7 linked regions of the Ovis aries genome follow. The protein of the gene in region 4 purifies or fractionates together with the protein of the main gene of each other region. This does not show direct contact. Links are inferred from orthologs where the notes say so. Each region holds a gene or a part of one and is shown on either strand. Other genes may lie near its edges.

The links.
Region 1: the proteins of RPAP2 (region 4) and RPRD1A purify together in Homo sapiens (affinity purification with mass spectrometry; 3 studies listed by BioGRID and IntAct, with this or other methods). This does not show direct contact. The link is inferred for Ovis aries from reciprocal best matches to the Homo sapiens genes RPAP2 and RPRD1A.
Region 2: the proteins of RPAP2 (region 4) and UXT purify together in Homo sapiens (affinity purification with mass spectrometry; 4 studies listed by BioGRID and IntAct, counting the BioPlex papers as one, with this or other methods). This does not show direct contact. The link is inferred for Ovis aries from reciprocal best matches to the Homo sapiens genes RPAP2 and UXT.
Region 3: the proteins of RPAP2 (region 4) and POLR2B purify together in Homo sapiens (affinity purification with mass spectrometry; 3 studies listed by BioGRID and IntAct, with this or other methods). This does not show direct contact. The link is inferred for Ovis aries from reciprocal best matches to the Homo sapiens genes RPAP2 and POLR2B.
Region 5: the proteins of RPAP2 (region 4) and RUVBL2 purify together in Homo sapiens (affinity purification with mass spectrometry; 3 studies listed by BioGRID and IntAct, with this or other methods). This does not show direct contact. The link is inferred for Ovis aries from reciprocal best matches to the Homo sapiens genes RPAP2 and RUVBL2.
Region 6: the proteins of RPAP2 (region 4) and PDRG1 purify together in Homo sapiens (affinity purification with mass spectrometry; 3 studies listed by BioGRID and IntAct, with this or other methods). This does not show direct contact. The link is inferred for Ovis aries from reciprocal best matches to the Homo sapiens genes RPAP2 and PDRG1.
Region 7: the proteins of RPAP2 (region 4) and POLR3E purify together in Homo sapiens (affinity purification with mass spectrometry; 3 studies listed by BioGRID, with this or other methods). This does not show direct contact. The link is inferred for Ovis aries from reciprocal best matches to the Homo sapiens genes RPAP2 and POLR3E.

Annotation. Positions count from the first base shown.
Region 1 is NC_056076.1:21,481,063-21,485,033, forward strand, and holds part of RPRD1A (regulation of nuclear pre-mRNA domain-containing protein 1A), read left to right. Parts: intron 1-2,336; coding exon 2,337-2,486; 3' UTR 2,487-3,971. UniProt on the Homo sapiens protein: Interacts with phosphorylated C-terminal heptapeptide repeat domain (CTD) of the largest RNA polymerase II subunit POLR2A, and participates in dephosphorylation of the CTD by RPAP2.
Region 2 is NC_056080.1:57,168,508-57,173,273, forward strand, and holds the start of UXT (protein UXT), read left to right. Parts: upstream 1-1,606; 5' UTR 1,607-1,673; intron 1,674-1,859; 5' UTR 1,860-1,868; coding exon 1,869-1,966; intron 1,967-2,955; coding exon 2,956-3,037; intron 3,038-3,170; coding exon 3,171-3,238; intron 3,239-3,504; coding exon 3,505-3,612; intron 3,613-4,272; exon of another isoform or gene 4,273-4,766. UniProt on the Homo sapiens protein: Involved in gene transcription regulation. Acts in concert with the corepressor URI1 to regulate androgen receptor AR-mediated transcription. Together with URI1, associates with chromatin to the NKX3-1 promoter region.
Region 3 is NC_056059.1:73,103,791-73,107,761, forward strand, and holds part of POLR2B (DNA-directed RNA polymerase II subunit RPB2), read left to right. Parts: intron 1-922; coding exon 923-1,073; intron 1,074-3,971. UniProt on the Homo sapiens protein: Catalytic core component of RNA polymerase II (Pol II), a DNA-dependent RNA polymerase which synthesizes mRNA precursors and many functional non-coding RNAs using the four ribonucleoside triphosphates as substrates.
Region 4 is NC_056054.1:69,550,269-69,554,749, forward strand, and holds the start of RPAP2 (putative RNA polymerase II subunit B1 CTD phosphatase RPAP2), read left to right. Parts: upstream 1-1,452; 5' UTR 1,453-1,465; coding exon 1,466-1,538; intron 1,539-2,256; coding exon 2,257-2,302; intron 2,303-4,481. Other genes in the region: GLMN (glomulin), read right to left, coding at 381-419.
Region 5 is NC_056067.1:55,305,165-55,309,135, forward strand, and holds part of RUVBL2 (ruvB-like 2), read left to right. Parts: coding exon 1-33; intron 34-318; coding exon 319-460; intron 461-2,244; coding exon 2,245-2,374; intron 2,375-2,520; coding exon 2,521-2,587; intron 2,588-3,971. UniProt on the Homo sapiens protein: Possesses single-stranded DNA-stimulated ATPase and ATP-dependent DNA helicase (5' to 3') activity; hexamerization is thought to be critical for ATP hydrolysis and adjacent subunits in the ring-like structure contribute to the ATPase activity.
Region 6 is NC_056066.1:61,136,713-61,141,319, reverse strand, and holds the start of PDRG1 (p53 and DNA damage-regulated protein 1), read left to right. Parts: upstream 1-1,442; 5' UTR 1,443-1,538; coding exon 1,539-1,625; intron 1,626-3,129; coding exon 3,130-3,205; intron 3,206-4,264; coding exon 4,265-4,339; intron 4,340-4,607. UniProt on the Homo sapiens protein: May play a role in chaperone-mediated protein folding.
Region 7 is NC_056077.1:20,535,871-20,539,841, forward strand, and holds part of POLR3E (DNA-directed RNA polymerase III subunit RPC5), read left to right. Parts: intron 1-151; coding exon 152-237; intron 238-504; coding exon 505-549; intron 550-642; coding exon 643-734; intron 735-1,581; coding exon 1,582-1,702; intron 1,703-3,971. UniProt on the Homo sapiens protein: DNA-dependent RNA polymerase catalyzes the transcription of DNA into RNA using the four ribonucleoside triphosphates as substrates.

The sequences.
Region 1 (3,971 bases), on a different chromosome or scaffold from region 4:
GAGGATGAAATGGGCTCTTTTTTTAATGCCTGCTGTATCAGTGGACATCCAGTAAAGGGCAGCGTTTGCTTATGTTTACCACTTTTTTGTATGCAATGTCACCAGTTGGTGAAGGGCTTTTAATTGCCGTAGATCCTTTGAATCGAAGGATTAAGATAAATCTCAGTAACAAGAACAGCCTGTGTGGTTGCTAGAAACTTGAAATTAGGATGGGCAGTAATGATCACTAAAAGCACATGAGACTTCTCAGGACATCTAGCCTCAAGAGGAGCAGAGAAATTACTTCTGTGCATGTTTGAACAGCATCTGAATCTATCGTGCTAACCTCGGAGTACTTGAGGTGTTATTTATTAAAGAATGATTTAGTACAAACAGGGACAAATGGGGGCTTCCCTGGTAGCTCAGTGGTAAAGAATCTGCCTGCTATGCAGGAGACGTAGGAGCCATGGGTTCTATCCCTGGGTGAGGAAGATCTGGAGGAGGCCATGGCAACCCACTCCAGTATTCTTGCTGGGAAATCCCATGGACAGGAGCGTGCCATGGGGTTGCAGAGTCAGAGACAGCTGAAGCCCCTGAGCATGCACACAGACGGGACAGATGGAGGTATGTGTTTGCCCCCGCCCCTACCAGAGTATTCTGAGGAAGTGTGCTAAGGGTGGAGATGTGTATGGACTGAAAAGTGTGTATCTAGAATGAACACCTAGCTGCTCTGCTGTGTGCCACTTGGAGCTGCTGTACTGAAACCTACCTGCTGTGCCAGAGTGTCACCGGCAAAGGGAAAAAGGGAACAGGAAAGTCGTAACCTTGAGGTTTTAGATCCCTGTTAAACTCCCTTACTCAACCTCGACCTTCATGATGGATTAAAAGTGCAAGGACAGGCAGACAGGGCAAGAATCGACACCTTTCTCACGTGTCCAAAGCTGTCCTACAGCGTGCCCAGCTTTCAACCTCGTTGGCTTTGTCTGCCTGGGTGCTCACTTCCCCAGTGTGCTTCAGAAACCCTCTTTCCCACATTGCCTTAGAGTGGTCGGGATATAGTAATTCTGACTGACTCCTTTCCCCAGGCATATTAATGGTTGTTCTTTAAAAGAGGGAACTCAGTAATACAGAGAAGCTTCCCTGATTTCATTTTTAGACAAAAACTATAGAGAAGTGGCTCGTATATTAGCATCCTTTGGGGGAGCTTTTACAAAATTCAAGAGCTCTGAACCTGCTTCCAGAGGTTCTCATTTAATTGATGGTCAGTGAGGCTGGTGTTCTTCTGAGAATTCTGAGTTTCTCCAGAAATTTCCTAGGAGATTCAGTCAGAGTTGAGAAACAAAAAGGGGCTCCTTGTGGGTAGGCCTTCTGCCCCAGATGAAAACTTCTTACTCACCTGCTCTGTCTCGGGGAGCTTAACCCTTGGTCAGAGGGTGGAAAAGTTTCTAGTCTTTACAGAGGAAATAATAGTCAACTTTTTGATTCCCCTCTTCACACCCTGCCTCTACTAGGTGATGGAGTAAAGAAGGTTCCTCTCTTCTGGTTGAAGTCTGAAAACTTCCGTTATTAATAAAAGATATTTCTGCTGCAGAGAGTGGCCTGTTCCCCCTAAGCCAGACATGATCTTTATTGGTTTCTAGTCCGACACCTTAGTCTGCTGATTGCAGGGTTTCCTAAGTTTTTTTCCTTTTGTGCCATTGAGATCCTTCGGTGAGCCTATGAAGCCTTGGACCCCTTCTCAAGTTAAATATTTTAAATGTAGAAAATAAAATGCATAACATTACAATAGGAAAAAGTTATATTGAAATAGTTATTGAAGTAATAAAACTTGTACACTAATACATGGTTCTTTACTGATAAGTAATACTAGCAGTTGGTCTGATCATTTCAAAGTAGTGATAAATGTGAAAAATGATATAATAATGAAGCATCTGGTTTCTATTCGAGATAAACTCAAAGATACTGATAATACTCCTGTGGTTTTTTGCCAGCATTTATAGTCAAAAACACTGCTAAATTTTATTTTAAGCTTGTGGAAGTAAATATATACTTTTTATTATCCTTGCCCCGGTATACCTGAGAATCCTATATGCTTCAGTTAAATATTGATACATTAATATGTTAATCTTTTTTTTACAGGTGTGAAGCAGCAATTTAAGATTGTAGTTTTTCCTAAGAATGAGTTTCTCTACTTGAGTATTTCCCAAATCCCTCTCTTGATCCTAAGGCTCACATAATCTTGTTTTTCAGCATAAACTGAGTGCTTTATCAGATTTTCTGCAGAGCATTAGCTGGATAAGCTAGATAGGTCCTCTCTGAACTCCCACAGTGCTAATGAGAGTGGTTTGATGTTACAGGAATACAAGCGCAAGTTAGCCAGAGTTTCCCTGGTGCGCAAAGAACTCAGGTCCCGGATCCAGAGCCTGCCGGACTTATCTCGATTGCCCAATGTCACTGGCAGCCACATGCACCTGCCCTTTGCGGGGGATATCTACAGTGAAGATTGATGACCAGTCTCTTTCCAGGGCCCAGGACTTTGCAAGAGATGGAGACAGGTTAGGTGGATAGTGCTGTAGTGTTATTTTTGTATATTGTTGAGAGTGACATTAACAAAAAGAAATGACAGGTAATTTATAAAATTGTTTAAAATGTTGGTTTGTTTACTATTTTATTGGTAAGTTAACATGACTTAGTTTAAACAAAGTGAATCTCTATGTGTATTAAGCTCACAAGTAGTGATTATTTTCAAAAGATCTTTTTGTAAATTTTTTTGATCCAGGGCCTTGTGAGAAATTTCCATGTTTCTATTTCTTCATGTATTTTCAAATGTTTTTCTTTATTTTCTTCAGTATCTAATCAGTGTATAGTATGTGATTCCTAAAGGGTAAGAACTAATCAGGTTGGTTGAGACTTTATTATGGTATAGTTAGGACTTGATTGTAGAAGGGACTAGGTGTTCCAACTTGATTTTCACCCTTCTCCTCAACCAAAACATCAGTTCTGTGCCTCTCAACACCTTAGATTCCTTATTCCCCAGAGGTCGGTCATTTAATACTAAACATGGATGTTGTTTTGAGGGTCAGATCAGAACCTGGAGAACCTTTCCACAACAGGGGTTCTGTCCAACAGCCACAGTGTAGGATAAAAGGAGTGTTATATAGGGACCCCTTGATTAAAAGCTGTTTAGAGTTATTTAGGTAGATAGCTATGAAAATGCTTTTGGAAATGTTTAAAAAAAATTTGACATTGTACCAAGAGAACAACTCTGATTCTGGAATCTCTGTTTGTCAAATCAAGCTCCTTTTAACATAATTGATCCCTTTAACATAAAAAGCCATCTGTGGGATTAAAAGAAGAGTAAAATAATGGTACCTTAATATTCTCTTAGCCATTTAACTTTAAAAAACAGTAGTATTTTTAGCTCTAATATCTCATGAACTCAATATTCATTAATGTTCAGTAAAGTAGCCTGGAACATTTTTAATGTTTCCTTAAGGTTTTTGAATTACGTATATTTGGGAATTAAGCAGTCCTACACTACAGGGTAGATATGGTAAATATTATATTTGTATATTTAGAATTACCAAAAACAAATGTACTTTTACCTTTTATTTCTAACCCTGTGTTAGAGCAATTGCATGCTCTCCTGCTTTCTCTTTAAATCACACTGTTAAGCTGTGGATTTTGTACTCAGTGATTATTTAGGATAAACATTTTTTTCCGTTGATTACATATTAAGACATTTTTCTTTTTGTTGTAAGAAGATTCATCTTAGTCAATAAAACAGCTTTTTAAATCCCACAGGTCAGTTATGTCTCACTAGTCTGAATGGCTTCACTCTTTCTCAGTATTAGAAATTATAGTTAAAGTGAATTTACTATATGTGAAGGAGAAAGCCAGTATTTCATTTTAGCAGCCAGTAGTTTTCAGAACAGTGCTCTGAACGGTTTGGCCTCTCCAAAACAGACACACTTAGTAGTAGTTCCCACCCA
Region 2 (4,766 bases), on a different chromosome or scaffold from region 4:
TATAGATTAACTTGATAATATTTGTCTACCTACCTACTGTCTCTTTTGATCAAACTAGATATAATTGCAACTATATTTAACATGAGATGATTTACCAAAAATAATTTTTTAAACTCACAAAGTTTTCCTTGCAATCGTCTTGTTCTAAGGGTAAAGAAAAGTTTGACTTGCTCAGGTTTTGAGCATTTGAAACAAAGCTTGGTTTTAGACTGCAAACCCACAAATTATCTGGGAAAACTTCCCTGATACGCTGGGTGCTCTAGGGCCTGCAGCCAGAAGTATCATTTGGGGGATCCAGCACTGGAGTTCTTCTTCAGGCCTGGACTTACTGAGTTAGAGGCTATTATTTGAAAATCTAACATAGGAAATAAATCCATTCGGTAATTTGAGCACATAAAAATAAATACAAAGTTTACACATTTAAATAAAAACATAGGAACTCTTTCTAATGACAAGATAACCTATCTTGGGCAGAGGACTTCAGCAACCCTCTATTTGACGCCCCAATTAAATGACGTGATCAGCCATGAAATTAAAAGATGCTTTGCTTACTCCTTGGAGGGAAAGTTATGACCAACCTAGATAGCACATTCAAAAGCAGAGACATTACTCTGCCAACAAAGGTCCGTCTAGTCAAGGCTATGGTTTTTCCAGCGGTCATGTATGGATGTGAGAGTTGGACTGTGAGGAAAGCTGAGTGCAGAAGAATTGATGCTTTTGAACTGTGGTGTTGGAGAAGACTCTTGAGAGTCCCTTGGACTGCAAGGAGATTCAACTAGTCCATTAAAGGAGATCAGCCCTGGGTGTTCTTTGAAAGGACTGATGCTAAAGCTGAAACTCCAATACTTTGGCCACCTCATGAGAAGAGTTGACTCATTGGAAAAGACTCTGATGCTGGGAGGGATTGAAGGCAGGAGAAGAAGGGGACGACAGAGGATGAGATGTCTGGATGGCATCACCGACTCGATGGACATGAGTTTGAGTGAACTCCGGGAGTTGGTGATGGACAGGGAGACCTGGCGTACTGCAGTTCATGGGGTCACAGAGTCGGACACAACTGAGTGACTGAACTGAACTGAACTGATTAGACATAGTGCGTTATCAACCTCTGCTTGAACTCCAGTCATGGACTGCGGGCTACAGAGCTGGAGTCGTCAAAGGTGCATATCAGAAAATTTGTCTCCTTTTCAAAACTTATGTTTAATGCTGACATTTATTTCCATTATTGAAAGTCAAACCCAAGCTTCCCTTGTGAAAACTCAAAATCCAGGGCGATGCAAGGATATACTTTCCTTTTTACAGACCACATTCATAATCTTTTCTTGCCCGGCTGCTTCTGAAGCTCTGACTTTTAAACACCAAAAGCTGTACTCGCTCTGTGTGTACCGCCACCTCCGGCACCCGCCAAATCCCATTAAACCCCACCCCCAGCAACAGTGCACTATCCCCATAGGCTTGTTGCGCAGTCCAGGTTCCCACGCTCTTCAGCCTTTCTTAATCAGCGGATTTCTTAAAGCCCCGCCCTTTCCTTCTCTCCGGCGTTTTTTTCCGTTCAGGACTGCCTCACCCACCCTGGTTATTTGGTTGGCCAGCGCCCCCGCCGTACGTCATTTACCCGCGCCACCCGGAAGCCACGGTTCTTACTAACACTTCTTTTTGCCGGCGGCTTTCAGGTAACGGCAGCGCTTGGGTGTCCCTGTGTGATGGGGTCCCAGAGCTGGGAGGGGCGGAAGGCTGAACCCTCGGCATAAGCCGGACGACTCAACTCCCAACACTGAAAAGGTGCAGTTGCACTGTGCTTGAGACCAAACTGAGACCAGTGGTCTTCAACGTGGTCTTTCTCCCTCCCCATTCCTCAGGAGCCCATCATGGCGACGCCCCCTAAACGGCGGGCGGTGGAGGCCACGGCGGAGAAAGTGCTGCGCTACGAGGCTTTCATCTCTGACGTGCTGCAGCGGGACTTGCAGTAAGTGACAGAACGGGGGGCGGAGCTATTGGAGCGGTCCACGTGGTGAGCGGGGCGTTCGAAGTCAGGGCCTGGCCTTCTGATTGGTGGGTGAGGCGTTCAGAGCCCGGCCCCGTGCGCCATTCGAGGAGGAAGGAGGGGCGATATCCGGGGTGCAGCGTCGGGTGAGGAGGGAGACTTGGTGATTTAATGGTGCCTGTGTACGCGCATGCGCGGCTTCCGATGACCTTAAAGGGTTAAGAATTAGAGTTCTGAAGCTGGAGTTTTCAGGTTCGAATCCTGGCTTGACCATTTTGCTTTCCGTGTGAATACATACTTCGCCTCCACTTGCTGTGCCTCAGTTTCCTCATCTGTGAAATGGGGAAGTTAATGCAGCCTTCCCCACGGCAGTGGGTTTGTGTTTTCAGTGTATTCAGTCCTTGTAAAGGGTTTAACTTGGATACTAGAGGCTCAATGAGTATAAAAAATTATTATTACTATCATTATTAATCAGAGCAGGAAGGAGAGTGTTCAGGTCTAGGATTATGAGCTCCTAAAAGAGATGGAGGATTTTTTTCTAGGGTGAGAATGTCATATTCTGATTGGAGGGAGGCATTGGGAGTAGAGTGTAATAATACTTGTAAATAAGAGCTAACTCATATAGAGAAATTTGTTTGGAGGGCACTATTCTAAATGCCTTATAGTAAATACTCATTTAATCCTCCTAATGACTCTATGAAGTAATACTCCTCATTCCTATTTTTAAAATGGGGAAATTGAGTTCCAAAGAGATTACTCACTTGCCAAAGTCACACAGCTAGTAAAATGGAAAGCCTGGATTCAAACCGAAGCAATCTGACCCAGAGGCCAAACCTTGACTTCTGCACTAAAATTCCTGTTTAGACTCTGGTGACAGGAGAGTCTCAGGGGTTCATGGTGTGAGATATTCCAAGAGGGACAGGGTTTCCTCTTGGTCACCATTTTACTCTTGTCCTGTCATGTCCCATCAGAAAGGTCCTGGACCATCGCGACAAGGTATATGAGCAGCTGGCCAAATACCTTCAACTGAGAAATGTCATTGAGCGACTCCAGGTAAAGATGCCAGGGTTAGGTAGTCTTTTTGTGGGCAAAGGAGGGGGAAGAGAGGAGATACCCAAGACCAAAACCTGTCACCTGACCTAAAAGTTGACCACTGATCCCTACCTCTTTTTCCCTGGCCCCACAGGAAGCTAATCACTCGGAGTTATATATGCAAGTGGATTTGGGCTGTAACTTCTTCGTTGACACAGTGGTGTGAGTATCTACCTGCCCCTCTGAGCCCACAGGGTTCAGCTTCCCTTTTCCTTCATTCAGCAAATACTTTTGTTAGTATTTGCTATGAACCAGACACTGCTCGGTGCTGAAGATGTGACAGTAAATAAAATAGGACAAATTATCTGCCCACCCTGACCTTCAGTTTGGGGAAGGTGGAGGATGGGGAGTAAAATAAATATTAAACTGTGTAGTATGCTAAACAGTGACAAGGACTTCTCCACTTCTGATCACCACTGTTTCCTTAGCCCAGACACTTCACGGATCTATGTGGCCCTTGGATATGGTTTTTTCCTGGAGTTGACACTGGCAGAAGCTCTCAAGTTCATTGATCGTAAGAGCAATCTCCTCACAGAGTAAGTCCATTGCATGAGGATACTGTCTAAAACAACACCATTTGTAACATCCTTCTTCCCCCTTTCACCCTGGCTACCTGGGATGGTACCTAGGAACCACTTTCCCCTCTCTCTAGGGGAGAGAACAGTGGGGATGCAAAGCTTAGCCCCAGGTGTAGCACATAATAAGTACTCAATAAATGGTCTCTGTATTGTTCACTCACACAAAAACTTATTGGGCATTTGCTGTATGCCAGGCTCTGTGCTTGGTGTTGGGGAGGCAGTATGAACAAGACAGAAGAATTCCTTGAAAGCTTACATTCTACAAGGGCTATAACTATTACACATCAGCACAGTTTTGACCAGATCCTGGAGGTCTCAGCCTGTAAATCAGTAACAGTAAAACAAGTTACCTCTGACTTCACCTTCTGCTAATTTTCCTGCTCATTCACTGTGCTCTCATCACATTAACCTTCACAGGCTTCTTTAAATGCCCACAAAGTGATCCCACCTCAGCACAACTGCAGTAACTGTTCTCTGTCTGCCTACAGCACTTTCCCCCCGATATATGCATGGCTTCCTTTTTCCTTATTCACTTGAAGTCTTGCTTAAATGTCACTTCCTATAACCTAACTTGAAAATTGCAACCCTTGCGCTCCTGATTCCCCTCCCTTGTTCTACTTTTTCTTTTTTTCTGTAGCACTTATGACCTCCTAATGTTTACTGTGTGATTTACTTTTTTATAATGTTCATTGCCTGCTCCCATTAGGATATAAGCTTTGCAAAGGGAGAGATTTTGTCTACGTCTCAAGTCACTAGAATAGCACAAAGCATATAGGAGTCATCCTGTGTTTGTTGAATGAATTTCAAAGCATATGCTGGAAATAGATTTAAGTGGGGATTGAGGGATTAGTAGATCTCTGTTGGTGGTGATGGAGGTAATGTGGGGATAAAGGATGAACTCTGACTGAGTATAAGGTTCTATGCAGGGAAGGGGAATTGTGATTGTGGAGAGACTTCTGAAATGAGGCCTTCCAGAGGAAGCAGCATTTGAGTTACTTGGTTGAGTGAACAAGCCATAGGGCTCTCTAGGGAAGAGCATTCCTGGCAAGGGGACCAGTGTGCCTGCCATGATAGAGGAACTGCTGAGAATGGTGAGCATTCAGTCACTCAGA
Region 3 (3,971 bases), on a different chromosome or scaffold from region 4:
CACTAGCTCTGATCTCTCAACCTTGCTCCATTTTTAATGATCAGTCATTTGCTGAGTATTTTCACTTAAATGACTTTGCCTCATATTACCTTTAACATATACAGAATAGGATAATCTTTAACCTAAAATTGAAATTCTTAACATGCTGTATTTTAGTCATTGACATCATCATCTTTTTTCTTATTAAAATTAAAGTTCTTATTTTTCTTTTTTTTTCCATGCTTTTTTTTTGTTATATAAGTTTCAGGTGTACAGCATTATAGTTCAACATCTGAATATACCACAGAGGGATCAACGCCACAGTCTAGTTATCATCCATCATTTGTATCACCTTACATTTTACCCCCATCACCCATTTCACCTATAAAGCTAACCACCTTCTCTCTCTGGTAACCTCTTTTCTGTTCTCTATGTCTGTGAGTTTTTTTTGTTTTGTTTGTCTGTTGTTTTGGGTTTGGGTTTTTTCCCTTTGTTTTTAAGATTCCATGTATGAGTGAAATCATGTGCTATCTGATTTTCTCCTGTTTATTTCTCTTAATAGTCTCATGGCCCATCCCTGTTAATGTTTTTCTCTTTGACTATACATTTTCTTTAGTTTCAAGAAATGTTTCAGAGAGGTTGGATAAAGTTTATAAGGGATATTTATAAGTTAGGGCTTCCTTATAGTTCTTACGTTGTGTTTTAGTAATTCTACCCACAGGTATAAGTCTCATTTCCACAGACTTAACAATAAGTTCGACAAAGAAAGTGTTCCTAGTCTCATCGCCTTTTTAGATACATGATAGTATTTTATATAGTGATGGGTACAGAGTGATTTCTATTTTATGATTAATATTTGTTGAATTTAATGATAGTGAAAATGGGGAAATATGCTAGAAAACATTAGTGAGTTGTAACTGATTGTAAACTCATATTTTCCCAGTTCCTATTTTGATGAGAAAGGTTTGGTGAGACAACAGCTGGATTCTTTTGATGAGTTTATTCAGATGTCTGTTCAAAGAATTGTGGAAGATGCTCCACCTATAGACCTACAAGCTGAAGCTCAGCATGCTAGTGGAGAAGTTGAAGAACCGGTAAGATGGTTATTTTAATAAAGTAACATAAATAAGGGTATTGATTTGAAATTTCAGTCCTTTTCTCACCTGGCTTAAAGGTTAAAAAAGAAAGGTGTACTTTCTGTAGTGTACTTTCAACAGTTTCTATCAGCTCCTGATTTAGTCTTACTAGTGGAGAGATGCATTTTTGCGAGTAATGCAGAACTGTTAATTCCTATTCAGATAGTAGGTATTTAATAGTCAGGAAGAAGAATCTCAAGAGATATGATGAGCTACTGAGAGAAGCAAGCCAGAAATAGTCATATTACTTCAGAAAATCCTCCTTTTGTCTTTCCAAGTATAAGTAATAGAAAGAAAAAGTAGGTGAAGAACCTCTGCCTTGATTATTTGTTGCATGAAATACATTGTTATATCAATATAAGAGGTAAGGGGAAATCACCCAAATATATCAGCTCTTTTAATTTTTCTAAATTAGTTTGTAGTCTTTTTTTTTTTTAAACATGTGCATGTTTTCAGCATTGTTAAAATCATAGCAGGGCTATCATTTTAGAATCTAGTTTTGAGTGATTGTAAAGAAGTGTGTATGTAGTCGAAAACAATGACTGTCCCTAGTTTTTTTTCCTTAATTTATTTATTTTTAATTGGAGGATAATCGCTTTACAATGTTGTTGGTTTCTGCCATACAGCAACATAAATCAGCCATAGGTATACATATTTCCCTCCCTCATGAACTTTCTTCCCACCCCAGTTTTTTTTTTTTAAGTACTATTTATTGCTGCATGGTTTGGGGGAATCTCAATTTCCCCCACCAGGGATCAAACCTAGGCCATGGCAGCAAAAGCCCAGAATCCTAGCCACTGAGCCACCAGGGAATTCCATGTTCCTAGTTTTTGAGTAGAGAGGCAGCTTGATCGGTCTTGAGGGACAGGGAAAACTAAAAACCAAAATGAGGTAGAAAAGAAGTAGAAGTAGACAGAGGGAAAGATTATTATTTCCTGCCAGATCAGTCCCTCTTTTCCGTAGCTTATCTCATAAGTGCTGGTGTATTATTCTCATTTTAGGTGGAGCTACTGCATAGACTTTGCTCTTGAGAACAAAAATAATTGACTCTTCAGGCACTGTGTTGGAAAAATGGGTATAAAATGTCTTTGTTTTTTTTTAATGTATGGCATTTTTTTCTATATGGTCTTTTCAAAACGAGAGACAACAATATAGCATATTCAGAGTTCCAAAATAAATACTATGGAAGGAAGAGATCTCGTAAGCTTTGGTATCAGAGCTTAGTGAAAAAGATGGGAGGGACTTAAGCTGACTGTAAAGGGCATTTGTCTTAGTAGAGAAAAGATATTTAATCATTTCAGCAAGAGATACTTCATGAATTTGGCTTGTGGTTGGAATGGAGGGACCACCGTAGTCAGTGTATTGTTTTTGACTTGATCTCTTTTTGATAGTGGAAGATAAGATGGAACTAGGTTGTCACATGCTTGGATGTCATTGGCTGTCATGGGAAATTGTGGAAAGACTGTCAAAGAATGTATTAAAGTGTTATTTAAAAAGGTTGCTTTGGAAATGGTGTTTACTTGGAATGGTAAGAGACTGGAGTCAGATACAAATTTTGAAATAGCTTAAGTTTCAGATAATAATGTCCTAAACTAAGGTGATAGTGGAAATAAGTAGTTGGATGGCTGGATTCCTTTTGTTTCATTATCAACAGTAGTTCTTTTTGCTCTTTGCCTACTCCAGCTTGGGAAACTTGGGTATTCACAATTTTCCTTTAGTGATCTGCGTAGTTCCATCTTTTCCTTTTCTGAGGTTTGATTTAGAGAGAAATTCCGTATCCATTTAACTCTGGAAAGTTCTCTTGGATCTTGTTTTATTGGGTAGCAGATATTTAATTGAAAATTTTTCTTTCTCTCTTTTTTTTTTTTTAACTGTGAAATAAGCTATAGTCAGCCATGGTTGGAAATTCTCATTTCTTTATGTAGAATAGTAATTAGGATTTTCTGTTGTTGTTTCTTTTTTATTCCTCTTTGCACACAGTATTGAAAGAAGGTGGCTATCATACTGATTCCATACATCTCTTACACAGAAATGCCCCCTCAAGGATTCCCAGTTATCTGCCCATGGGAATTGGCAGTTAGTGAATGGGGCAGAATGCTAAGTTTTGGGAAGGTTTCTTGAGACATTTTTGTGGGAAGTTTTGGGTCAGAAGGAGAGATGAAACCCAGCAATGAACGTTCCATCCTTCATCTTCCTGGGGAAATTCTAATCCCAAAGGTTTTCTGAAGAAAGGCATCTCTTTCAGTGACCTCGGGATGGGTGGTGCCTGGATTAGGTTGGGGCAGAAGAGGACAGTGTTAAGCAGCAGAGTTCACAGACCCAAGGCAGAGAATTGAAATGCCTGTTGGGGAGAGAAGAGAGAAGGGGACTAAGAGAGCCTAGAGGTCCAAGTCCTAAATTCCACCCTGTCTCCAGTTCTGAGCAGAAACTCTTCTTCCCAAGACTCAAGTAGAGTTTTAATTCAGGGACTGTCTTTTCTCTAGGGCACAGAGAGGACAAGTCAGGTGGAGATCTGATGGTAGTGAAGGTGGAGAGTTAAGGTATCAGACACAGAGATGGACATTCCTACAACAAACACAGACCACAGCAGTTTTGAAGCTATGAGCCAGGATCAGGGTAAAAAGAAAATTCAGCTGTGTTGAAATACAGAATTTTATAGACCCTCTTCGATAAAATTTAAATCACTGTTTCCATGCTGTCGCTTCCTATGTTCCCAGTATTTTTTTCAAGACTAGAGGTCTGGGCAGTAAGAAGAAATAGGGGAAAATACTGAGACTTGAAATGCCACTCCCCACCCCCACTTATTCTATACAAAAGAATTCTCTCTCCCTCCCCTTGCTGTTGGGATGAAGGCTG
Region 4 (4,481 bases):
TAGGCAAATGGAAATTCAATAACTATTTGATTTTTCTCTAAAAAAAGAAATCTGTTTAAATTCTAGATAAGCTGCACATAATCGTATGTATGAAAATTAGGATTAGGTAAAAAAATACTTCAATAAATCGCCTTGAAATCCACTGTGCCAAAGAAATCTATGATAAGGATCCGTATTAAAAGTGTAAAGATTATTTCCCTAAGTGACATATCCAATCTGTCTTCCTGCCTTCATGCTATTTATTCATAGGTCAAAAAAAGCAAGGATTAAAGAAGATTAACAATTTGAGTGACTGCAGGTAACTAAAAATAATCTGTGCTCTTCCCATATTCTGAAAGGTCATTAAATGTCATTAAAAATAAAAACAAAAAATTACTTACACATCTCTTTATGATGGACTGTAGTTCCTCCACAGCCATTCCTTATTTTTTCCAGTTTTGATGCTGAAATTTATCATATAAATACCCTGTTAACTATCAATAGTAAGTTACTTCATCATGTTACTTCAGTATAAGTTACTTCATTCTTATGAATTATTAATAAATACAATAAAGAAAATGGAAAGTTTTTAAAGCTGAAACTTTTTTTTACTGAAACGTTAGCCTAAGAAATTAAAACAAAAAACAGAAGAACAAAAACCTCTTTTTCGTCCTTTAAGTTTTTTTGGAGCATAATTTTGAAAGATAAATTGAAGGGGAAAGAAAGTCTTTAGTTCATTCCCAAGAGGTAGCACAAATTTACCCTAAGATCTTTTAAAAGACAGTCTTCACCCTCCTCCTCCACCCCTGCGCCCCAAAGGTGGGCCTGAAATCAATTCTAATTATCAGGGAGCCTTTTTCTTTTCTTTTTTTTTTTTAATGTCCCATTTGACAGAAATTGGAATGTAACACTGGAGGGGATGAAAGTTGGGATGCCTTCCACCCCAAGAGTAACAAGCATTACAGACCCGGGCATCTGTCTGTAACAGATGTACTGCGCCCCGCCCCATATAATCAATTGTGATAGTGAAATCACTGTATCGCGCGAAGACAGGCAACAGGCCGCCCTCAGGGCAACACCGCCCGGTTCGCAGGCCCAGTAGTAGAGACGGGGTTCCGCCGGATCCTCACAGCAGCGAATAAAACCCCAGCGCGCGTGCAGGCTGCATCCAAGGGAAGCCATTTCTCCCGGTTCCTGCCTGCGTCGGCCATTGGGCCCCAGACCTCACGGAGGCCTCGACCCCGAAGCCGGGTCCTCCACGGCTCACCTCCCACCGCGGGCCCCGGCCGCCAGGGACCCCGCGTGTATCCACCTACCGCCAGGCCTCTCGCCCGTCTCGCGGCTCTCCTCCGCCGCCGCCACCGCCGCCGCGCTGCTTTCCGGGCCCCTCCCCTCCCAGCCGGCCCCGCCCCGCGCTGCGCGACGGGAGGCGGAGTCTTGGGGGGGAAAGACGCCAAGGTCGGTTCCGACACTGACGACGCATGCCATGGCCGACTGGGTCGGACCGTGCTCTGCGGGCCGCAAAGCCCGGCGTCCCCGCGCCTCCCGAGATGTCCCAGGTAGGAGGAAGGGCCTCTTCCCAAGTTTGGAACTGAGAATTCGGCCCCGACAGAATTCCAGACGGAGGCATGCGGGCGCTCCCGAAAGGCTGCCCCAGGGAAGGAGATCCTCGGGGGCAAGAAGGCCAAGAGCTTTCTACCGCCGAACTCTCGCCTTCTGGGAAAGACCTTCGTCCGAATCCCCAACTCTTGACGCTAGTCTTCCAAGATTTCCCCCCAAATGGGCTGGCTGTGCTCCAGGCTCTAAGGGAAAGGGCAGCAGAGGTCCTGGAGAGCCTACAATCGGGGTCGTCTGAGTGGGCAGGTGACCAGGAGGGCGTTGGAAGGCCGAGTGCTGCTGGCCTTCACCCTAGCACTGGCCGTCCTTGCAGGTGGACTGCCCCTGTGGTGCCCTGGATCTCTTGAGGACCGGAGAGCTAACATTGAGGGGGACGGAGAGAGGTTGCCCCTAGATCGCAGGCTTTCGGGAGTGCTTAATTATGCGACTAGGATAATGAGAAAATTCAGTCTGAAAGAGGTACATTTTAAACAACAAAAATAATTAGCTTGCAAAACCAAATTGGATTCCCTTCTCATTTCATTTGATTTTCACACAGAGTTGGAAGTGAAATGTGTGGAGAAGAAAAGATGGTCTACAGTTTACTGGGGCAAGAATCTGTCCTGTAACCTGGTGTTTGTGTACACTTGACCTACTGTTTTTTGTTTCTTTTAATGGTAGGTACTAAGCAGACAAGTGCCTTGAACCAAGAAGATACTTCTCAAAGGTATGAGAACTACATAGAGAGCTGCTTTCACTTATCTGTTAATCTCATACTAATTGAACCATTTGTAAAAAGTGTAATAGGTGCTACCTCAGGTAAAATTATTTAGAGAGAAGGGGAAGATTTGAGAAGTACTGTAAACCCAAATAGACTGTTATTTCCCCTACTCTTCCATACCTTAAGAAAACCAAGTTGACACTTTTAGATTGCTGGTGAATGTATGACTATCTGTAGAAAAATGTCCTGAATTAGCTAGGAACCTTTTTTTCATCTCTTCAGATACTTTCCTTTTTTGTTCTATATACCAGACTCCAAGAAACTTTTTGTTGTTTTTCTTTGTTTACATCATGTCCATATTTTCAGCAAAAAGTTGTTCTATACTATTCAATGGGCATCTTCTAAAAAGGCAACGTTTATCTCCTAGCACAAAAGGTTCTTAGAATAGATGTCATCCTTGAGGATGATGTAACTGCATATATCTATAAGTTATGATTTTATGAAGTATTGGTTTTAATTTACTCATTCAAGAATTATTTACTGAATGTTAAATATGCTAGATCTGTGTTAGTCCCTGTGGATAAGATTTTTTTTTTATTTTAATTGAACTCTAGTTGATTTATATTAGTTTCAGATGTACAATATAGAGATTAAATATTTTTATAGATTATATTCTAAGTTATTACAAAATAATAACTAAATTTCCCTGTGTTATACAATACTTCCTTATTGCTTATTTATTGTATACATAGTTTGTATCTCTTAATCCCATACCCCACTCTTGCCCCTCCCCCTGCTGTTTCCCCACTGGTAACCACTGGTTTGTCCTCTATATAAGTGATGTCAGAATAATTGTCTTTCTCTGAGTTACTTCACAAAGCATAATATCCTCTAGGGACATCCATGTTGTCGCAGATTGCAGAATTTCATTCTTTTTTATGGCTGAGTAGTATTCCATGGCATGTGTAAACCACATCATCTTTATCCATTTGTCTGTTGATGGACACTTATATTGCTTCTGTATCTTGGCAATTATAAATTATGCTCCTATGAACATTGAGATGCATGTGTCTTTTCAAACTAGTGTTGTAATTTTCTTCACATATATACCCAGGAGTGAAATTGCTGGATCATATGGTAGTTTTTAGTGTTTTAGGGAACCTCTATACTGTTTTCCGTAGTGGGTGCACCAATTTACATCCCCACAAACAGGAGGATTCCCTTTTCTCCACATCCTCCTCAACATTTGTTATTTGTAGACTTAAATGATAGCCTTTTTGACAGATGTGAGGTGATATCTCATTTTGTAGCTTTGATTTGCATTTCTCTGCTGATTCGCGATGTTGAGCATTTTCTCATGTGCCTGTTGGCCATCTCTACATCCTTGGGAAAGTGTCCTGTTTCTTCTGCCCAGTTTTTAATTGGATTGTTTTTTTTTTGATATTGAGTTGTGTGAACTGTTTATATATTTTGGATATTAACCTCTAATTATTCATATCATTTGCAAATATTTTCTCCCCATCAGTAGATTGTCTTTTCATTTTGTTGATGGTTTCCTTTTGTTTGCAAAAGTTTTTAAGTATAATTAGGTCCTTCCTGTTTGTTTATATTTGCTCTTTCCCTTCATCTTGGAAGACATTTTAAAAAATTGCTAAGATTTATGTCAAAGGCTGTTCTGCCTGTGTTCTCTTTTGGGAGTTTTTCAGTTTCAGAGGCCCTGAGGATATGATTTTGAACAGTATAGACACAGTTCCTGTCTAGTAGAACAGAGAAATATCAATTAAATTATCACAAATAAATACATAATTGCAAATGAAAAGGCTGTGATGGAACTAAAAACAAAAGAGGTTGGCAGGAAGGGTGGTATGTGTTCAGGGAAAAGCTTCTCTGAGAAAGTAATAATTAGACTGACTGGAAGGCTAGGTAGGCACTTACCAGACAGAGTAGTGAGGAGAGACTTCCAGCTAGAAGCACCAATATATGTGACAAGAAAAAAAGAAAGAGATATCCAAGGTCATGTGAAGCATTCTGAGCAAAGGAAGAAAGGAGTGTAGGAATAAGTTAGAGGCAGGGTTGCATTCAAACAGTACCAGTAGGCTAGGGTGAGAAATTCAGATTTTCTAAGTGCAAATAAAACTTGAATTTAAAGTAACAGAATTTAAGTTTCAAAAGTGTTAAGGTGTTA
Region 5 (3,971 bases), on a different chromosome or scaffold from region 4:
CTGGGACTCGATGATGCCTTGGAGCCACGGCAGGTAGAACCCAGGGGGTCAAGCTGGGAAGGCTGCCCCAGGGAGGCCTCAGGTGGAGGGAACCCAAGGCCCTGGGGAACGCAGAGACTGTGTTATGATGTTCCAGATCTTTGGCTGTGCTGTATTTATACAATTCAGCCACACATAGGTCTCTAAAAGATGGGGATGGAGAAAAGCCTTTTTTTCTGAAGGCCTAGCCAACAGTTTTGGCCTGGAGGTGGTAGAAATGCAGCAGCAGCTCAGTAGAAAGTCACCTTCCTTATATGTTCTGTCACCTCCTGCCCCCAGGCTTCCCAGGGCATGGTGGGCCAGCTGGCGGCCCGGAGGGCAGCCGGTGTGGTGCTGGAGATGATCCGAGAAGGGAAGATTGCTGGCCGGGCGGTTCTCATTGCTGGCCAGCCAGGCACTGGGAAGACAGCCATTGCCATGGGTAAGGTGCTTCTCCAGGCAGTAGCTCTTTTGGCCTCACCGGATGATCCTCCCATGTAAGTCAGGGTCAGGTTCAGCCATGTCTAACAGACAGCACAGAATGGAAGTGGCTTAAACACTAAGGCTTTCTTCTGTCACATAGAAGAGTCTAAACATAGGCCAATTCAGGCTTGTTAAGCAGTTCTATGAGGGCTCCTACCTTCTTGCCTCGAGATCACTTGCTTCCATGTCAGGGACACCTTGGGTTACAAAAAGGTGGCCTATGCTCCAGCCATCCCACCCATACTCCATATAAGAAGAAGGAGAAAGGAATTGTAATGAGGGTGTACCTCCTAGAGGGAGCTCCTTTTAAGCAGCTGTCTCAGGGCACCCACATTCTCTTGCTTATATTTTATTGACTAGAAGTTAATGACCACACTCTACTGCACAAGAGAGAGAGAGGCATTAAAACTTTTTTTTATATTTTAATTGGGACTACTGTTACCTTACTGAAATGGGCGTTCTGGAACAAAGGAAGATGTGAAAGATGAGCATTGTATAGACAATCAGCAGTCTCTTTTGCAATTCATTAGTAATTTAAAAGCTTTTTACTCACAACTGTCCCTTATCCTTGTTGAGCTCTTATCTGTCCTTCAAAACTGCTCTCTGACATCTTTTCCTTGTTGAAGGTTTCCTGGAGTCTCTTCCCACTCACTCTCACCTTTGTGCCTGGACTGTGGGGCCAGGCAGTGAGACTCAAGGCAACAGCTAGGTCCTCAGTTAAGAAAAAGTAACACTCATATTTGGGGACACCAAGATGATTAAGACCAAAGTCCTGACTTTAAGGGGCTTCCAGCCTGGGGCAGGTGTTAGTGGACACAGTCCCGTCCATGTAGAGAACAGAGGAGGCTTCTCCTCCGATGAAGGGTGATGGGGAGAGAATGGGGTGGCAGTTGTCAGGAGGGACATCCCAGGTGAGTCAGTACTGGAACTGAGACTCGCAGGAAGTCTGGGAGTCTCCTGAACAGACAGTACGGAACATGATACCCAGGTGCAGAGTGTGGCATGCCTCTGGAAAGGGGACCAGGAAGAGTTGCCACCTCGCACTGGTCAGGAGGGTTCAGTGACTTCCTGTCTGGGAGACTTGGCTCAGAGCTGGGCAGAGCCCCCAGGAAGGGGAGCTGGCAGAGAGGCCCGGAGCTTGGAGTGATGGCAGGAACTGCCCACTGTCTGCCAGCTGACCCCAGGCCCCAGACCATAGAGGAGGCCCTTCCCTGTGCTGGTCCCAGGTCACATATCGGGGTCCCGGCTGAGCACCAGGGCATGCCTGCCCGCCCTTATCATTGCTCCTATGCAGCAATGTCGTTCCCTGCCAGCGCTTGTTATGTTATGGTTCCCATTACCCAGAGGGGCAGGCTGGCTTGGGGAGCAGCTTAGGCTTCTTAAGATAACTTGGTGCTAAGCATTGAAGCCGGGATTCGAACCTGCACAGTCTCTTTTAACCTCTTTCAGCCCCTTGCCTCCACCCCTGCTCATCCCCCCCAAGCCCTGAGGCTAAACAGCTCTCAGAGGTTGGGAGGCAGGTCCAGCATGACTGTAGAGTCATAAAGTTTTTGGTCTGGGCAGTGTGGGGTTCCAACCCAGGGCCTCCCAACATGGCCCGCCATCACTCACTTTCTGCAAGTCTCCCTGTCTGCCCCACAGCACCGAGCCCCTTTTTCCTGTCTGAAGAAGAAGAGCTGGTTAGGGAGATGTGAGGACCTCGTGCCTGGACCACCTACCCAAACTGCCTCCCCTCTTCCTCAGGCATGGCGCAGGCCTTGGGGCCCGACACCCCATTCACAGCCATCGCAGGCAGTGAGATCTTCTCCTTGGAGATGAGCAAGACAGAGGCACTGACCCAGGCCTTCCGGCGCTCCATCGGCGTGCGCATCAAGTAAGCAGGAGTAATGGTAGCTCCCAGCAGCCTTGGGACGCCACCTGAGGGATGCCAGCTCGTCCTGTGCCCAGGGGCCCACAGGGGTGAGCAGTTCCTGAGGGCCCAGGCCGCGAGCTATCTCCTTAGATCTGTTCTCTCGCCAGGGAGGAGACCGAGATCATCGAAGGGGAGGTGGTGGAGATCCAGATTGATCGGCCGGCCACAGGGACGGTGAGTGTGCTCCCAAGTCTAGGCTACCCCAAGGGCTGGGGGTGGGTAGGGTGTGCTGGGTCTGCACTGAGGTCAGAATCCCATGGAAAGTTCGAGATGCAGCTTAGAGTCATCCATATGCCGGCAAGAGAGGGTCGGTTGAATTGATGGCGGTTTGTCCGTTTGTGAGGGGCACAGTGAGCTAAGTGGTGGAACAATGGAAAAGGATATGGAAAAGAACATATTTATGTCTAACTGGATCACTTTGCTGTACAGCAGAAATTAACGCAATATTGTAAATCAACTATACTTGCCCCAAAAAACAAACCAAGCAATGGAATGACGGAGGAGGTCTTGAAGTTTCTCACAGTTAATTCCTAATAGTTAGGCTTACAGACCCGTTGGATTTATAAATCTTAGTACCTCAACTGTACTAACAGTACTAACAGTAAGAATTAACAGGACTTCCTGGTGGTCCAGTGGTTAGGACTCCGCAATTCCACCACAGATTCAATTCCTGGTCAGGGAGCTAAGATCCTACGCGCCTCTCAGCCATAAAACCAAGGCAAAGCAGAAGCAATATTATAACAAATTCAATAAGGACTTTAAGAAATGGTCCACATCCAAAAAAAAAAAACTTTAAAAAAAGATTTAAAAAAACCCTAAAACTTAGCCAGCACCTCCAACCCTGCCCCTTCCTCTGCCTCTTTCCACAGTACCCCATAGAAATAGCCGCCCTCACCCGTTGGAGTTTCATTAGCTTTTATCACCCAACTGTGTATTCCAAGACTGCCCATTTTAAAAACTTATATGTCTTTTAAGTCTTCTGTCATAGTCTGGTTTCCCCTTCATCTCTTTCTCTCTCTTTCAGTTTTTCTGTAGGTCTGTTTTTCACTGACATAAAATCACACAACATAAACTAACCATCAACCCTTTCAGAGTTGCTCCTCCTCCCCTCCCACGCCACCTGCAGTCCCTGGCAACCACAAATCTACTTCCTGTCTTAATGGACTTGCCTCTGATGGAATCTAAGAATATATGACTTTTTGTGTATGTCTTCGAGGTTCAGCAGTGTTTGTAGTTCTCTGTTAAATATTAAGTTACAGGTGTTAATAAAATGCAAAATAAAAGGAAGTCTAAAATTGCTTCAAATCCATTGACCTGATGCACAGTCCTACCTTCTGTTTCTGTGTCTTGCAGGAACACCCTCCTCTTTTTTCATTAGCTTCTCATTTTCAGTGGAAATAGACTTAAAGTGAATAACTGCGGTCAACTGCACTTTTAGCACTTGTAACAGCCTCCTAAATTAGTCTTATCTATTGGCAATTAAATTTTGAATTTTAAAAACACGGTAGAAAAAAAAACAATGTGGAAGAGTCTAAGTATAGGGAAAGCTATTTCCCAG
Region 6 (4,607 bases), on a different chromosome or scaffold from region 4:
CCAAGGGTGCCCTCTGAGGGCCAGTCACAGCCAATAAGCTGCCAATTTGGGAGTCTCCTTCAACCCTTTCCCATCCAGGCCCATCTGGCAGGGGTCAGGGTTCAGCCTGGCCTAGGCCCCTTTAAGCCCCAAGGTGGAGGGGAGATAATCCTAGGGTCCAGGCCTCAAGGATGCCTGGTGAGCCCTGTTTCTCCTTTGGCAAATGTTCCTCCTTCCTTCACAAGGCCTGTGTCTGCGTTTCTGAACCAGAAGGTATTTACACAAAACATCCTGGGTTTGGCGACAAATTCACCCTTAATGAGGAATCCTTAATGAATCTCCTTCTTTCCCCATGCCAGGTGGCTGCAGGGAAAACTAACTGCCTCATCAGTTCAAGGAAGCCAAAGGCCAGGCAAAGACAGGGTGCTTCGAGGACTTTTGGGGCCACAACTTGGTGGAGGGCCTTTCTTCTTTCAGGATCCAGAAACAGCTGTGGTCTAGAAGCTTGAGCACTCCTGGACCATGTTTGCTCCTGACTTGCCGTGGGACAAGGAACAAGCCTCAGCATGCAGCTGCGAGATGTGTAATAACCCACCCATACAAAGATGGTTGTGAAATTCAAGGAAGGCAAGGGGTGTGAAAGGGCTTGGTTACAGTGGCCAAAAGGAGAGCAATACAAGCTGGAGTCAGGGAGACAAGAGGTCAGAGCTCTAGTACTGGGTCTGCTGTTGACTTTTTAAAACCCTCACCACCCTCTGAACCTTGGCTTTTCCAGCTGTACAGTGAGGGGTTTGGGTGTGAAGATCTCTAGGGAATCTTCTGATTCGGAAGGGCAGCCACTTTCCACCTGCCTACTTCTTCTTGGAAATCTTCCCAGCTCCTACAGCCCACAATGATTCACTTTCCAGCATTTCCAACTCTTCTGAGCTGGCACTTCATCACTCACCGCCCTTCCTAGGGTCTAGGTCAGCTATTCTTGACACTGGGTCCAACACAGGGGCTCAATGAAAGTAGAGGTCAAACTGAATTTTAAGACTCCTGCCTCCTTCCAATCCTGCGGAAACACAATGAGAAGGATTTTTATTCACTCTCATTTTATAAATCAGAAACTGCTACACTTGCTTCCTTGGTGCTCCTCAGGCAGGGGAAGAATGGCTTGATTTCTCCAAAGCCCTATCACTGCCTCCCATAGTATATAATTATTTGTTTTGTGATCAATTGTTTATGTTACCCACTAGATGAAGTTGCGCGAGGGGCAGGGACTTCGTTTTGTTCACTTCCGTATCCTCAGCGCCTAAGAACTATCCTAAGGGAGGGCGAGGTTAAGAGGTTTGGACCTGCAGGGGGCGCTCCAGCCCCGCCCCCAAGCTAGGCCCCGCCTCTCGCGTCCGCTTTCGTGCGAGCTTTGGAGCCTGCGCGCCTCCGTTCTTCTTTCAACTGCGCATGCGTGCCGGAAGCCCTGTGAGAACGGCGCGTGCGCGGACGGAGCTGCAGTGCGGCAGAGCCGGAGGTGAGCGCGATAGGATAGCGGCGTAGTGGAGTCGTGACTGGTAGGCATCATGTTGTCGCCCGAGGCGGAGCGGGTGCTGCGGTACCTGGTGGAGGTGGAGGAGCTCGCCGAGGAGGTGCTGGCGGACAAACGGCAGGTAGGAGGCCTGTCCGCGGGGCTGGGGCCCGGGTTTTGCAGTTGGGCCTGCGAGCTCCTAGGGCAGCGCGCGGGGTCCGGAATCCGGCTCCAGCTTGGGCTAGCTGTGAATTGACCTACTCTTGTGGGCCAAGGGCTGTGACGACAGACCGGGCGGTTGTGAGATCATGTGGGCCAAATGTCGAGTGCGTGGCACAGCGCCGCGCTTGACTCCTGTATTTGGCACATATTAAGCCCGTCTGTGCCAGGCCTTTCCTCTCTCGCCATCCTTCCTCTGCCCTTTGCCCAGCTTTCCGGATCCCGACCCATTACCTCTTGGGGCCTTTGGTTTACCTGAACCGCTTTTTCAAAATGCAGTTTCTGGGCCCCAACACTGACCTGGGCTGCACCGCTCCAGTCCAGGCCAGAAGAGGAACAGGAAAGAAGTCTGAGTGGTCTAGTAATCGCGCAGGAGTCGGGACGTGGGAGAAGTGTGGGGCCCAGGCCACCGGAGGGCCGTGGAGACCTGCACAGGGAGTTTAAGGCAGCTTGTGGTGGGCAGAGAGAATGATATAATGGATTGAGGCTTTGAAAGATCCCTCTGGCTGCTCTGTAGAGCACAGACTATAAGAGGGGAAGGGGTGAATGAGGGGCCAGGTAGGGGATGGGTTTGGGCCTAGGTGGTGGTGATGGGTCATCTCCCTTTGGAGATGGCCTCCATGATGCTGAGGTATAGGGGTGAGGGAGTAGGAGGGATCAAGAATGATTCAGACTCCTCATCTCCAGTTAGAATGATTGGGTACTTGGTCAGTTGGGTATTAAGGGAGAGCCTAGTAAACACTGCATCAAGGTGTGCTGGCTGACAAATAGCAGTTAAAGTTGATTGAGTACTTACTGTGTATCAAGTACTGTGCTGACTTAGTTCCTAGGTTAATAACCTAGGTGGTGGGTCCTCTTCCTGTCCCTGTTTTTCAGAGAGGTGAAGTCACACCGCTCATAGCAAGCTGCAGGATTCAAACCTGGGTGTTCTGCCCCAGAGCCTCCACTGCCAGGCAGTAGTACTGCACTGCCTCCTCACTTTCTTAGTAGCCATTTTGCTGTGACCACTGTCTCAGTGCCTTTCTGATGTAATATTGTTGTTTTTCTCAGGATACTCGGTCAGAATCAGCTGGAGGAGCTTGTTCAGGAAGTGGTTTCCACTCCCCTGGTGATTCTGAAATGCCTTGAAGCTTGAGAACTAGTGCTCCCGTGGATGATAATAAAAAATTACCCATTTAGTCACTAGACATTTCCCCAGCTCCTCCTCTGGGGGGAAAGACACCTGGATGAAGCATCGTCTTTAAGGAGCTGGAAGCTGAGTGGGGGAGGGAGTACCTTCACACCTCTGTCCGCTTTAGGCAGGACATTAGAATTAACCGAGGAATGATGCCTTGTCGTCTTCGTCAGGTTTTAACAGCCCTGGTCTGTTGAGGGTACAGACCCAGGTAGGAGGTAACTGAGTTCCCTCCTGCCCCTGTGCTTTTCAGATTGTGGACCTGGATACCAAAAGGAATCGGAACCGGGAGGGCCTGAGGGCCCTGCAGAAGGATCTCAGCCTCACTGGTAAGCCTAGCTTCGTTGTTGCAGCCCAGGAGGCCTGTTCAGTTTACCTTCTACTGCCTTTGACTTATTCCTGTTAGAGACCAGGCAGGAGGCCACAGGTGTGTGGCACAGCCCGTGGAGATGGGAGAGATGGCATTGCAGGTCTGACCTAGACTGTGGCTCAGGATTTCAGTTTCTTACCTCAACCAGCAGGTTGTTAGCTGCTAGCTTATCAATTGATGACACTGGGAAAGTGCTGGGGGTATAAAAACAGTGCAGTTCCTGCCCTTGTGCTCTACAGGTGAGTCAACAGCATAAATACAGAACTGAAAATTGTAAGAAAGCTGCAGAAGGAAGTGAACACAGGGTTGGTCTTGGATAATGGGATGGTGGCTCTTTAGATGAGGCTAAGTGGTGGTGATGGAGGAAGCAATAGGGGAGGGGCAAGTGATCATGCTAGAGAGATGGGCAGAGGCCAGGCCATGATGAAGGGCCTCAGGAACCAAGCACTTAAAGTGCACTGGAAAGCCTGAACCCTTCCAGTGTCTTGTCTCCCCAGAGTAAAATCCAGAGTCCTGCAGGGCTCCGTGTAATTTCGCTGAACTCTCCCACCTTGTCTCCTCTGCTCTCACGCTCGCTTATCAGCTGCACCCTCACCGTTCTCCTTGCTGTTCCTGACACACCGGCACGTTACTGATCCTTGCTGTTCCTGGTTCCTCTGCCTGGCTTGCTCTTTCCCTAGATGGGTGTCTGCAGGGCTTGCACACTCCTCACTTTTGTCAGGTCTCTGCCAGCATGGCACATAATCTGTAAGACCTTCCAAGACTGCCTGGTATAAATGACAAGCTCCTCTTTTTGGCATTCCCCATCTCTCTTTCCCTGCTTTAGTTTTCTCTAAGATACCTTTCAGGGTCTGATGAATCATATCTTTATTATCTTGACGTTGTTGTATATTCTCTCTCCTCCACTCTAACAAGCTAGGAAGGCAGGAATTTCGTCCTGTTTTGCTGTGTTTTCAACATCTAAAGCAATGCCTGGCATCAAACTATTTGTTGAAGGAATGACTGTTTGCCATTTCAGAAGACGTGATGGTTTGCTTTGGGAACATGTTTATCAGGATGCCTCACCCTGAGACAAAGGAAATGATTGAGAAAGGTAAGCCTCCTGGGCAGGGGTCAGGGACAGCACACCGCCCCCATGCCACAGCCTCCCCTGCCCCACCCTGGCTTCTGGCAGCTTGATGAGAGGCGGCTGGTGGCTGTGTGCATTTTAATCTTTGCTGTGCCACTGAGTTGTTTCTTAATCTCTGAAAGGGGATATGTCTACATAGCACAGTTGTTGTAAAGTTCAGATAAAATAATATTTACCTAGCATAGTGCTTGTTTGTCATTGAGGAATGAGTTGGATTGCAAATAACAGAAAT
Region 7 (3,971 bases), on a different chromosome or scaffold from region 4:
GCTCAGGAAGTTGGGGTGATCCTGTGGCCAGCCTTGGAGCTGGACAGTGGGTGACTGGAGCAGAAGGTGATACAAGGCTGAGAACCAGATTGCAGGGGGAGGCCTGGAATGTTGGCTGAGGTTCCTCTGACTTCCTGTTCCTCCCCCACAGGACAGTCGCTCTGAGCACGAACGCCAGTACCTGCTGTGCCAGGGCTTCAGCGGGGTTGAGAACACGGAGCTGGTCAAGTCCCCCAGGTGAGATGAGCCAGGCTGGGGCCGTGGAGGGCTGCTGAGCCTGACACTGGCCCTGGGAGCATCCCTCTCTCATGGGTCCTGCCTTGAGACTGTGGCCCCTTCTGTAACACGGTGGGGAGATGTGGAGGGGTCCATCATCCTCTGGAGAGGGCCAGAAGTGGGTGCTGGGCTTTGGGGCGGGGAGCGGCTTGGATACAACTGGTTGGTGGCCGGGGTGGGGCAAGGATAGAGCCCTGCAAGCTGCTGACCCATTCTCTCCCCCGACAGTGAGTACCTCATGATGCTGATGCCCCCCAGCCAGGAGGAGGAGAAGTGAGTAGAGGGGCCGAACGCCTTTCCGCACTGCCCCTTCCCACCCGCTAACCTGCCCCTGGCCTCCTAACCCTTGGTGTTGGTTTTCAATAGAGACAAACCCGTGGCCCCCAGCAATGTCCTGTCCATGGCCCAACTGCGCACCCTGCCCCTGGCTGATCAGATCAAGATCCTGATGAAAAACGGTGAGTGGGCAGCCCTGCCCTGGGGGTCCCCAGCCTTGCCACCTCCTGGGGAAGTGGAGTTGGGACAGACTTAAGGAGCGAGGCCCAAGGTCTTTGGAAAGTGCACTGAAGCTGGTGACAGGCCATGTTAGAGGGGCTGTAGGTCCCTGTGAGCCTGGGCAGGCCACTGGCCTTCCTGGGATGTGTTGTTTGTTTATGAAAAGGAACTAAGGTAGCTACGGGGCTGAGGTGAAGATTCAGAGGTGAGGCTTGTTAAAGGATTGTGCAGAGCCTCGCGTGTGAGCACGAGCGGTGTTCCTTTTCACAGTGAAGTGTGTCCCTTGCACCACTTTGTGGTCCCTCCCCAGGCTCCCCACAGTGACGACTCTGAGGCCAGAACCGTCAGAGTGGACATGAGCCTCGAACCTCAGAGCTGAGTCCCAGGCCCGAGGCTGCGGGGCTGGAGTGGAGAGGGGAGCTCCCTGGGGTCCAGAGGCTGCTGGCCTTGCTCCAGAACACATGGGCCTCCCCTGGCCCTGCCACTGCTCACCAGGGCTGGGGGCTCAGTTGGGGGTGGGGAGGTGGGGTGAGCAAAGCACAGTGACCAAGTGCATGAATTTTGGAGCCAAACAGCCTGGGTTCAAGTCCTGGCTCTGCCACTTACTAGCCAAGTGATCATGGGTGAATTTTGAAGCTTCTTGGGCTGGGTCTTCTCATGAGGCACTCCTCCAGGGCTCAGTGAGAGGCGGGGGCCTGCCCCGAGTGAGAAACAGTGACTGCAGCCGTTACGTTACTACTGTCCTGCTGGACTTGCTGCATGAGCCCAGGGCCCTCTTGGCTTGTCTGATGTCTCCTGTGTCCTCCTCAGTGAAGGTCATGCCTTTTGCCAACTTGATGAGCCTCCTGGGCCCCTCTGTCGACTCTGTGGCTGTTCTGCGTGGCATCCAGAAGGTGGCGATGTTGGTCCAAGGAAACTGGGTGGTGAAGAGGTAAGTTCTAGTCCCTTAGTTGGGAGCGATTAACCCAGTTAAATTGAATGTAAGTACTAATTGACCGACTGACAAAAACTCAGTTTAAGTTTTGGGCTTAAATCTACCTTAGTGCTTTCTGTTTGTCCTGTTGGCATGTTATATTCATTTTTCCCTTCTTTTCTTGTTACTGTTTTCACCAGTAACTGGGAAGTTACCTTTCTCGACTCTTTCAGAGATTACCCTACAGATTTCTCAGTTTAATATTAGTTGCTACTTTTTCGGAGAAGGCAGTGGCACCCCACTCCAGTACTCTTGCCTGGAAAATCCCATGGATGGAGGAGCCTGGAAGGCTGCAGTCCATGGGGTCGCTAAGAGTCGGGCACGACTGAGCGACTTCACTTTAACTTTTCACTTTCATGCATTGGAGAAGGAAATGGCAACCCACTCCAGTGTTCTTGCCTGGAGAATCCCAGGGACAGAGGAGCCTGGTGGGCTGCTGTCTGTGGGGTCGCACAGAGTCGGGCACGACTAAAGCGACTTAGCAGCAGTAGCAGCTACTTTTTACCCTCATCCATGATGATTCAACAACCTTTAGGTTTTGGTCTTCCTCTCAACTCATTTGTCATTGTATTTGTATATTTTAATTCTCTATTTTAAACCTTGTAAGATGTTATCCAGTTAATATTCTTTTTTTTAAATTAATTTATTTATTTTGCTCATCATTTCTTTCTGTATCTCTGAGTTCCTAAACATGATGATTTCCTTCTGTGAAACTGAGCATCTGCAGGTCATAAATTTGTTTCCTCTTTGTCTGGAAATGTCTATTTCACCTTTGTTCTTAAAGCTTATTTTGGTTTTTAATTTTATTCAAGTAGGGCTGATTTACAATGTTAGGGATATTTTTTATTGAGTATAGAATTTTAATTTGGTGATTTTCCTTCCACACTCTGATAGAATTTCATTGTATTCTGATCTCTATTGATTTTATTGTTAATCCACTGTATGTTCCGCTGTCTATGTTTCTTCGTTTCTCTCTGGCTGCGTTCAGATTTTTTTCTTGTTTTGGTTTTGGTTTTGCACAGCTCGTCAAGATGGGCCTCAGTGGGAATTTCTTATGTGTCCTGTCGGGCTGCGTAGGTCCTGGATTTGTGGCTTGCTGCCTTTTAGTAGTTTCTCTTCCGTGATTGCTTCTCCAGACTCTGCCTCCTCCCTAGACTGTCAGTTTCTAGGCGGCAGGGACTGTCTTGACTCCCTTTTCCCCTGGTACCGGGTATAATGCCTGGTACGTGGCCCACCCTTGGTAAACCTGACTACATTTAATGCACACTTGAATTATGTTATTTCTAAATTGTGTAAGGTAGAACACATTGAATACTCATGGTTTAGGGATGTGATACAAAGTGAGCTATCTGTCAAAGTGTAAATTGTTATAGATTTTTTTAAAAGTTGTTCATTGCGAAAAGTCCATCATTTCCCAGTTGGTTGGCCAAGAAGACTGCAAAGTATATTCATGTTAGAACCGCATGGTGACAGCCTTGCCCTGGAAAACGGACGGTGCCCGGTGTGCTTTGTGGGGCCTTGCAGCTGCTGTCTGTGTGACACAAGCGTCTAATTATGAGGGCCTCTGGGACGGCACTTCACCTGTTATTGGGACCATGTATGTGTGTGTGTGTGCCAGGGCCCTGTCCTGTAGGGCTTTCATGGGAAAGTGGGCCCAGCTCAGCCTTGAAGGAAAGTAGTAGATGGGTGCCAGGTGGGCTTGAGGGGGCAGGGAGAACAAAGGAGTGTGTGTCCCTGGGCAGCAGGGTCTGCATCTGGGTGTGGGGTCAGGGTTACGCTGTGGAAATGCTTTTAAGCTTTGGCGCCTGTCATTTGCCCTTGAAGGTCCCTGAGCCTTGAGTGCTGGTCCCATTCTCCCCAAGGGCTTCAACCTCACCCATGCTTGGGGTCTGTCCAATCCCAACCCCTGACCCCTCCTGCCTCAGCTCACACTGCCTACTCCTTCCATTTGGGCCAGGGGTAAGGCCTTGGGTGCTGCTTCATTGCTGGCCTCTCTTAGTGTTTCACCTGCTTTATGTGTGGGACTCGCTAGACTCCAGAGTCCTGGGCTCAGCTGGTCTGTCTCTGAGCCCCTGACCCTCTGACCACGCAGGGACCTTGGGGCTGGGCCCCTGTGAGGGAGACGTTGGGAACGGGGTAGGAGAGGAACTCGGGTCTGTAGGGGAGGCTGCTGCTTTCCTCCACACGGGTTCAGGGAGCCAGGCTCCCGGGGAGAACGGCGGGTGAT